Linked DNA regions of Cricetulus griseus. The protein of the gene in region 1 purifies or fractionates together with the protein of each later gene. This does not show direct contact. Links are inferred from orthologs where the notes say so. Each region holds a gene or a part of one and is shown in the gene's direction. Other genes may lie near its edges.

Evidence for each region.
Region 2: the proteins of Pop7 (region 1) and Rpp38 purify together in Homo sapiens (co-immunoprecipitation; 3 studies listed by BioGRID and IntAct, with this or other methods). This does not show direct contact. The link is inferred for Cricetulus griseus from reciprocal best matches to the Homo sapiens genes POP7 and RPP38.

Annotation. Positions count from the first base shown.
Region 1 is NC_048597.1:116,424,835-116,428,584, reverse strand, and holds Pop7 (ribonuclease P protein subunit p20), read left to right. Parts: upstream 1-1,728; 5' UTR 1,729-1,871; intron 1,872-2,009; 5' UTR 2,010-2,017; coding exon 2,018-2,440; 3' UTR 2,441-2,669; downstream 2,670-3,750. UniProt on the Homo sapiens protein: Component of ribonuclease P, a ribonucleoprotein complex that generates mature tRNA molecules by cleaving their 5'-ends. Also a component of the MRP ribonuclease complex, which cleaves pre-rRNA sequences.
Region 2 is NC_048596.1:220,625,496-220,630,635, reverse strand, and holds the start of Rpp38 (ribonuclease P protein subunit p38), read left to right. Parts: upstream 1-2,017; 5' UTR 2,018-2,152; intron 2,153-2,333; exon of another isoform or gene 2,334-2,468; intron 2,469-3,076; 5' UTR 3,077-3,195; intron 3,196-4,836; 5' UTR 4,837-4,846; coding exon 4,847-5,140. UniProt on the Homo sapiens protein: Component of ribonuclease P, a ribonucleoprotein complex that generates mature tRNA molecules by cleaving their 5'-ends. Also a component of the MRP ribonuclease complex, which cleaves pre-rRNA sequences.

The DNA of each region.
Region 1 (3,750 bases):
AGCTTCCAAAGTGCTTGTATTACAGGTGTCCAGCCTTAACGGTTTTAAATTTTATTTTTACATTTACTTATTTAAAGTGTGTTTGGGTAGTGTTATGTGTATAGGGGTCAGGGGACAACTTATAGGAATGCATTATTTTCTCCTTCTACTATGTGGGCCCTAGGGACCCAGCTCTGATCCTTAGGCTTTGAAGTAGATGACTTTACTTACAGACCCTCCAGCCTTGAAATGCTAATGGACTACAATTTATCTTCATCCCCCATCCATCTCTGGACTTGTTTTGACTAGTCTATTGGAATTTATTTATATTTTATGCACATTAGTGTTTTGCCAGGGGTTTCAGGTCCTCTGGAACTGGAGTTACAGACAGTTGTGAGCTGTCCTGAGTGCTAGGAATTGAACCTAGATCCCCTGGAAGAGCAGCCAGTGCTCGTAACTGTCGAGCCATCTCTCCAGCATTTGACTAGCCTCTTGAAGGGTTCCCTCATAGTTTCTCCGAATGGTTTAAAGTTAACAGCTTCGTATTTAGATCCATTGCCCATGTCATGGTCTCCCTCTTCATACATTTTAGTATAAATTTACCAGGATGGCACAGTGGTGCATACCTGTAACGCTAGCTAGCACTGGGCAGGCCAAGACAGGAGGAACATGAGTTCTAGGCCAGCCTGAACCAGATAGCTAAACCCTATCCTCACCACCCAAAAAGATTCCTGGTTTACATCTGCAACTCTGAGGATTAACCTAAAAATGGCATTAAATATATAGACCAACTTGGAGCAAATTGATGTCTAGAATGTTAAGCCTCTCATTTCAACATATATCCCACAGGCTAGGCATGTATCTCAGTTTGATGGTGCCTGCTGATCCCAGCACTCCCAAGGTGGAGGCAGGGGATCACAATATCACGGTCGCCTGGTGGCACATGCCGTTAATCCCAGCACTCGGGAGGCAGAGGCAGGCAGATCTCTGTGAGTTCGAGGCCAACCTGGTCTATAGAGCAAGTTCCAGCACAGCCAGGGCTACACACAGAGAAACCCTGTTTTGGGGGTAAAAAAAAGTTGGCGGTCATCTTTGGCTATGCAACACGGATCAGAGTTCTCTTTCCAACCTCCGATGAGATTCTGCCTCGGCAGGTGGTCTGGGGCTGTAGTAAGAGGTCCCAATACAGGTTTACTCCCGTCTGTAGGGAACTCTCCAAAGGCCTCACCAGTCTGGGCTGGGAGCCCAATTATTGCAGTCCCCGTCCCTCCCGCCAGGGGGCAGCGCGGCGGGAAGCTGCAAACGCCTGGCACCCAGTGTGGGCCCCTCGCGCGGGGCGTCCAGGGTGGACATCCGGCCGTGCGGGGCCGCCAGGACCGAGCTCGGGGGCTCAGCTGTAGATCCCGCGGCTCCCGGTGCGGTGACCCCGGCCCCGGGGACCCCGGCTCCTGCAAGGGCCCGAACCCCTGCCCAAACTGCAAGAGCCGTTTCCGGCTCGGGTGCTCGAGTCCCGACCAGCGGGGACACCCGCACCACGCCCCTCGTAGCCCCGCCCCCACCGATTAGTCCCACCTCCGACAGCTAGCCCCGCCCTCGACGCCCTCCGGGCCAGACCGCCTCGAGTCAGGAAGTCTCGCGAGACTGAAGTTCCCTTGCGCACGCGCACGAGGACGGGGAGGGGGCGGGAGAACGGAGGCCGGGAAGGCTACGAGCCGAGCGATTCCGGCTGGGGAACGGGGACGCGCGTGCGCAGTTCGTAGCCCCGGTTCTCCGGCACGGCGCTCCTGCTCCCATCGCTTCTTCCTTCTTCTTCCGAGTGTCCTGAGCAGCGGCGTCCCGGGGGAGCGGTCGGCGAGGCGCTCGCGAGCGAAGGGCGCTGTGGCGGGGAGAAGGTAGGCGCGGGAACGCCGGGAGCGGGAGCCACGTGATGAGGGAAGAGAGCGGAAGTGGCGGGCGGGAGGGCGGTGGGGGCGGGGGCGCCCCCTGCCGGCCGCCCGGAGGGACCGCCCGGTCATTGTCCCCCACGCCAGCACTCAGCATGGCCGAGAACAGGGAGCCCCGCGGCGCCGTCGAGGCCGAGCTGGACCCCGTGGAGTACACCCTCCGGAAGCGACTTCCCCACCGCCTGCCCCGGAGGCCCAATGACATTTATGTCAACATGAAGACGGACTTTAAGGCCCAGCTTGCCCGCTGCCAAAAGCTGCTGGACGGAGGCAGCAGGGGGCAGAGCGCCTGCGCCGAGATCTACATCCACGGCTTGGGTCTGGCCATTAACCGCGCCATCAACATCGCCCTGCAGCTGCAGGCGGGCAGCTTTGGGTCCCTGCAGGTGGCTGCCAACACCTCCACCGTGGAGCTGGTGGATGAGCTGGAACCAGAGATTGACTCTCGAGAGCCACTGACCAGGATCCGGAACAACTCGGCCATCCACATCCGGGTCTTCAGGGTCACGCCTAAGTAGATGGAGTGAAGCCAGACTGTCATACACCAACTCCTGGGAGCACACACATCCGGGCGTCATGTGGCTGAGGTTGCTGCTAGTTCATAGGACTCTTGTTCTCATATGGACCTGTTGTCAGAGCCTTGTAAGAAAAAATATGTTACCTCAGCCTAGAGGACGGTAAACGAGCCCAAGAAATGAATCCTCTTTGTCTTGTACAATAAAAGAATCAAGTTGTGTTGGTGCCAGGCTTCCGCGTATAATAATTCTGTGTGTGCTTGAGTAGGAACAGTAGGAAACTACAAGTACTTAGGCACAGGAAAAGAACCCACACTGGGTCACAGTGTGACATGGGTCAAATTTGTTGACTTACAGTTGAGCTCAGTTACAGCGTGCTCACGGGAAGACTAGAGAATAGACTCATCTACCAAGCTGACTGCAGCTGGGGTGGATAAGGCTTGGGAATAGAGAAGGTTTGAAGGTGAAGGAAGTGGGTTGTGGTATGACTCAATGGGGGAATTGTGACTAGTGTTACCTAGGTGCGCAGCACGGGGTTGGGCACCAGGTTCATCCCCTAGTAACCACAGAGTTAAGATGGAGAAGGTCGGGGAGATGCTCAATGGGAAAAGCACGAGCCCCACACACAGTCATAAACAGGATCCATTTCACACCAGGCACTCAGTACTCAAATCTAATTCCCACGATTCTCTAGGGAGATGAGCACCAGACAGGAGGATCCTCTGGCCAGTGAGTTAGCCACCCTGGCATAAACCGGCAAGAACCGGGCATTGGTGGCGTTGGTGGCATTCGCCATTAATCCCAGCACAGGGGAGGCAGAGGCAGGCAGATTTCTGTGAGTTCAAGGCCAGCCTGGTCTCCAGAGCAAGTGCCAGGATAGGCTCCTAAGCTACACTGAGAAACCCTGTCTCGAAAAACAAAAAACAAACAAACAAACAAAAAAACAAGAAATCCTGTCTCAAAGTGGAAGGTGAAGACTGATATCTGAAGTCCTTTGCTGTATACTGTAACACATGTAGCCATACTCACATAACATAGACATGCAAAAATAAAAAAAGATGAAGATTGTAGCTTTCTAAAATTAGCTTCCCTGAACTGACAGTTATGTTTGCTCTCAGTTTGAGTCAAACCTAGATAGAGGCTTTGTGTGCAAAGCAAGGGTAGCCATGCTGAGCCATGCTCCAGCTCTTCAATGGTGGATTCTAGGTACTCCTACTGAGCTAGGCCCCCAGCTCTCGAAACGGACACTTTTGACTGCTATACTTAATTCCTGTTCCTGCAGAGCCCTCATTTCTGGGCATCTTGAGACTAGA
Region 2 (5,140 bases), on another chromosome or scaffold:
TACTGGAAAATGCTTGTAGAAAAACAATCTGAACATAAACTGAATTGATATTACTGTTTTTTAAGCACACATCTATTGGAAATAAGTTAGTATATGACTCTGAACAAAAATGTGGGGGTGACTGTATCATCTCAGATGATTTTTAAGAGAACCTCTAAAAATAACTTGTTTTGTTATGAAGTTTGTGTCACACAAATGGAATAAATTACCTATGAGAAATAGCATGTTTTTTTTTGTAAAATTCTTGTGGAAATAATGCCAGACTTCAAACAGAAAACAAGGACTAAAATAGTAGAGGATATATTTAAATTTTATTAACCTGATTCTGCCAAAGATGTCACTGGGCCATCACGGTTCAGTTTGTCTGGCACTTACTATGTGGCAGGCACTGTGATAAGCATCTTACACAGAACTCTCTTCTAATCCTCAGAATAGGTGCTATTTTTATCACTTCATAACTTGTGCCAGGCATAGGTACACTAGTTAGTGGTAAGGTTAGGGTTCCAACTTAGCAGCCTGGTTCCAAAGCTTTGTAATGTAGGAGCTAGAAAAATGATCACGTGAAAGGTTAGGTCATGGGTAAACTTTATTTCTGGAACTTTAGTGGGATAACAACAGAGCCATTGCCTTCTTTTCTGCTTACCTTTTTACTTCTGTTTCTCTCCCCCTCTTGCCTCTCATTTTTCCTCTTCTTTTCTTTTCCTTTCCTTCCTTCTTTCATTCTTTCGTGTGTGTGTGTGTGTGTGTGTGTGTGTGTGTGTCTCGGGGGTGTGGGCTGTAGCTGAGGTTGGTCGCCTTGAACTAAGCAGTCCAGGCTGACCTTGAACTCTACATATTCCCGACTCAGTCTCCCAAGCACCAGGGTTTTATGTGAACCTTTAGTGTTTCAATTGACTATCGCAATTTGTCTTCAGCGCCACATGACTGCAAAAGGGTGAAGAACGTTTTATGAAACAAAAGCCTGTTGTTACACTCAAAACTCATGCTGGCTTTATTCTTGATAATCTGCTTGTGATAAAAACCACAGCACATTCCCTGTAAAAACTGCAACAATCTTTGACCCAAAGCAACCCTTTTTGTTTTGTTTAATTTATGTGCAGTAGGTGGTGTATAATGAAAATACTAGACTCTAAAGTTTTACAATCTAAAATGAGCAGTGAAGACACTGAGAACAGGAGGAAGGCATGGAGAAGGACCTGAGTCCACCCAAATTCGTTAGAAAAGGACAGAAAGGATAAAAACATTTTGTCAAATGTAGCCAACAGATTTAGGTTTTTAAATCGTTGGCACAGTATCCCACTCTTTTGCTAGTGTCCATAACTCCCCAGTGATCCTGTTCATAACCAATATTTTTCTTTTGGTTTTTCCAGAGAGGATTTCTTTGTGTAGCCCTAGCTAGCTGTTCTGGGACTCACTCTGTAAACCAGACTGGCCTCGAACTTGCAGAAATCCTCCTGCCTCTGCCTCCCAAGTGCTGGGATTAAAGGCGTGTGCCACCACCGCTTGGCTTGATAACCATTTTTTGTCTCCATTTTTGTCTCCAAGGCAGAACAGATGTTGCTGGAATATTCTGGAATACTGCTGTGGAATTGAAAGCCGCCCTTATTTCTCTTGGAGTTGGCTCAAAATTCTCCACCTAAATTGTAATTACACCTAACCCTACAACCCTTATTTATTTGATTTTCGTGGCGCGGGGACATGTGCAGAGAATGAATGGTTATAAGGGCTGGAGCTTTGCGATTCTAGAATGAAAAGAGATAGCGGGCCAGAATTCCAAGGCAGAAGCCATCGTGCTTAAACCACGAACCAGAACCCAGGAACCGGTGGCTAGACCATCTTTACACCACCAGTCCAGACTGAGAGCGGCTGGTTACTACAGCAACCACAGACTCTCGCGAGACAGATCATACGCCTGCGCAGTGCTGCTCCAGAGGTCTGTCCCGAGCTTAGGGATTTTACGGAAGGACTTCCTGCTGTCACAAGCTGCCGCTCAAGTCCCTTACCAGGTGTGACGTAATGCAGAAGGGAGGCGGTCAGGCTGCGCAGGCGCAGCGCAGGCGCACGTGGAGCCGGCGCTCGGGTCCCCAGTGGCGGCGGAGTCGTGATACGGAGTCCCTGTCTTGTGGTCTCCGCAGGGCGCGCTTCGGGAGAGGTGGGCGAGCGCCTATGGTCCGAGTCCCAGCCCGTGGGCACCCCTGTCACCGCGGGGTGGTGGGAAAGGGGCTGCAGACAGCTTCTGAGGTCACTCCAGGTCTCCCTGAAGCCCCTTCCGGCGTTCTCAGTCTCCCTCCGGAGGGGTTTCCTTTGCGTGGCGAAACGCGGGTACCTCTGCTTCTCCCGAGACCACGGGACTGGTGCTCTGCTGCTGACAACCTTTCCCAGGTCCCTTCCCAGAATCAAGGTCTTTCCGTGACGCCTTTCTAATCGCGCCACTCCACCGCCAAGACTCTCCATCTTGTCCCTACCCGGTAATTCCAACGCCTTTATCTCTGTCCCAGCGACACTGAATATTCTTCTGGGTTACCCCGCTGCCCCCTTTCTACTTAGTCTGGAAGGAATTCTTTAGAGAGCGTTCATTTCCCCCAGAGAGCCTTCTTTTCCTGACTCTCTCGGCTAAGGCCACACCTCTCTGCTCCCTAAGGTACATCACTACTACTCTTTTAAAGTGAGACGTTTTTATTAACCGCAGAGGCCTTCGCTTTGCACAACGCCTAATGGTTTAGGGCATCAAGGATATAATCCATAAGACTTTGACGAAGAGAGAGCATGTGGTATGTGAGTCGTATCCTAGGCTGGATACACGGAGCATAAGGACATGAGACACCAGAGGTTTCATTAAATAGCCCGAATCTATAATATGCATGGTGGGTGAAAGGAGAAAGGCTTGTGAGAAATGGGAGGGTAAAAGCTAAACCTTTGAGTTTTCAGTTGATCCCGTAGGCAGCAGCAGCTTGCAGACACAGATGGCAAGGCACATGTCCATCCTGGTTTCCTGTCTATGAAGCTGTTAAGCATTTTTTCATATTGCATGGCGGCCACCTTATGCAGACTTGACTTTTTTCATCTTCCCTTCCAGGTTCTGTGTATCAGAGAAGTGATCCCAATCTTGCTGTCCCTTGGTTGCAGAGTATCTAAGAGTGAGTGTCCCTCGTAAACCGATGGGCTAGGCCCATACAGTAACTGAATCGCCGGTTGGTAAGAACTGTGGTGGGGCCGTTGTCTTGCTCCCTGGTCACTTTGTCTGACCACCTACAGCCAGATATCAGCTTCTGGCAGTCACCTCACTAGATCTGGATGGCCTTCTGTTCTTTAATCTCTGAGCCTGAGGGGAGCATAGAGCTAATAAGGGACCAATGGGAGAGTGCAGTGCAGTGTGGGGAAGGAAGCATCAACAGACCATGTCTGTAGCAGTGGGCAGCATTGACAGGACCAGGTTGCAGCACTCACTGGGAGGAATTCTGGCTTTATGGATCAGGATCTCGGAGTGATTCTGCAACACCATTTCTTGGGACTGTCCAGTTTGGAAAGCCAACCTGTCCCACAACCAACATTTCCAAATGCTGGTTCTTTTTCAGTTCACTTGGACATCTTACCAGCACCCATGACTTGGCTGCACTCCTACAGCTCAGTAGCTCTAGAGTGGGAACCAGCCATCTGTATGTTCTTATAAGCTACAGGTTATTTCGAAGATGGAGCCATGAGTCAGCTTCCTAACCCATACACTGAGGAACCCTATAGGTGTGTTAGGGAATTGGGTATATATTTGGAGAAAGTGCCCTGAAATGGAGGAACCTTAATCAAAGGGGACTTGCTTAAATGGGTCTTTATAGTTCTTAGATAAACTCTAGGAAGGAGAAAATAACTGAGAGAAGGAAGTATGCAGTTGCCTTTGGAAAGGACAAGCCTGATCTAGATGAATACCCAACTAGAGAGCAACCAAGAACATCCTAAAGAGTCTGTAAGGCTAATACCATATCTGTAGTCTCTAGGAAAATTATGAATAGGCCAATGGCTTCTAATACGCTTTCGGAAGGAGCCCAGCCCTTTTATTTCTCCCTAATGGATTAATTTCTTTGAATTTCATCACAAATTTTCATGAAATTGCCTGTCAAAGCAGTCATCTTATAATCTAATGAAGGGAAAAATATGTGCCTGTATGTTTTAGGAAGGAAATTGGGGATCATTGAAGGAGACTTACAAAGGGGTACAGAATAAGTTTTAGCCATGGACATATATTACTTTTGGTTCTTAAAGCCTGATCTGGTTAGTTATGAATTTCAGAGACTACAGATAAGCTCTGTGTGGGCAGACACAAGTGTCTTGATGCCCACCAGCAGCTGTGCCTAGAACACCATCTGCCCACTGGAGTATATGGGCTGATGAATGAGTGAATGAGGGGCCCTTGAGATTCTTCAGAGAGTAAAAGCATTTGCCACTATGCTTGTGACCCAAGTTCTACCCTGTGATTCAACATGGTAGAAGGAGAGAACCTACTTTGATAGAGCTGTCCCCTCTGACGCTCTATGATATGATCCCCAATCCTAGTAACTTAATTTTTAAAAATAAATGAGTGAAGTCTAATTAAGAGTTTAGAAGATGCTAAACCTCTGAGCTTAACACCAGTCATTCTCACATTGCCTGTGTATCATGGAAAAAAATAGGGGAAATTATAACTACTTCATTTTACCAGAGAAGTTATGTTCATGGCTACCTAGTTGGGCCTATATAATTAGACTTGCCTATCAGTTTGGAGTAAAAAACAAGAAAACACTGGAATATAACCAAAATATTCTCAGAGCATGCATTACTAACATGAGATAATGCTTCTTTCTGAAGGGTTTTCAAGATGGCTGCAGCCCCTCAAGCACCTAAGAGGGGATCTATTAGGAAGACTAGACCTCTGGTTGTAAAGACATCACTGAACAACCCGTATGTCATTTCCTGGAGCACCTTGGAGAGAGAGGACATACACTTTATATTACAGACACTTGAAGACAAATTTAAATCAATTGGACTAAAGAAAATTGAAGATAAAAAGAAAAAAACACCTTTTGTAAAAAAGCAAAGATGCAGCCCAGATGTTGAGATTAGTGAGGGTCTGAAAGAGGAGCACGATGGGAATGTGCAGGTCTCAGGGTGG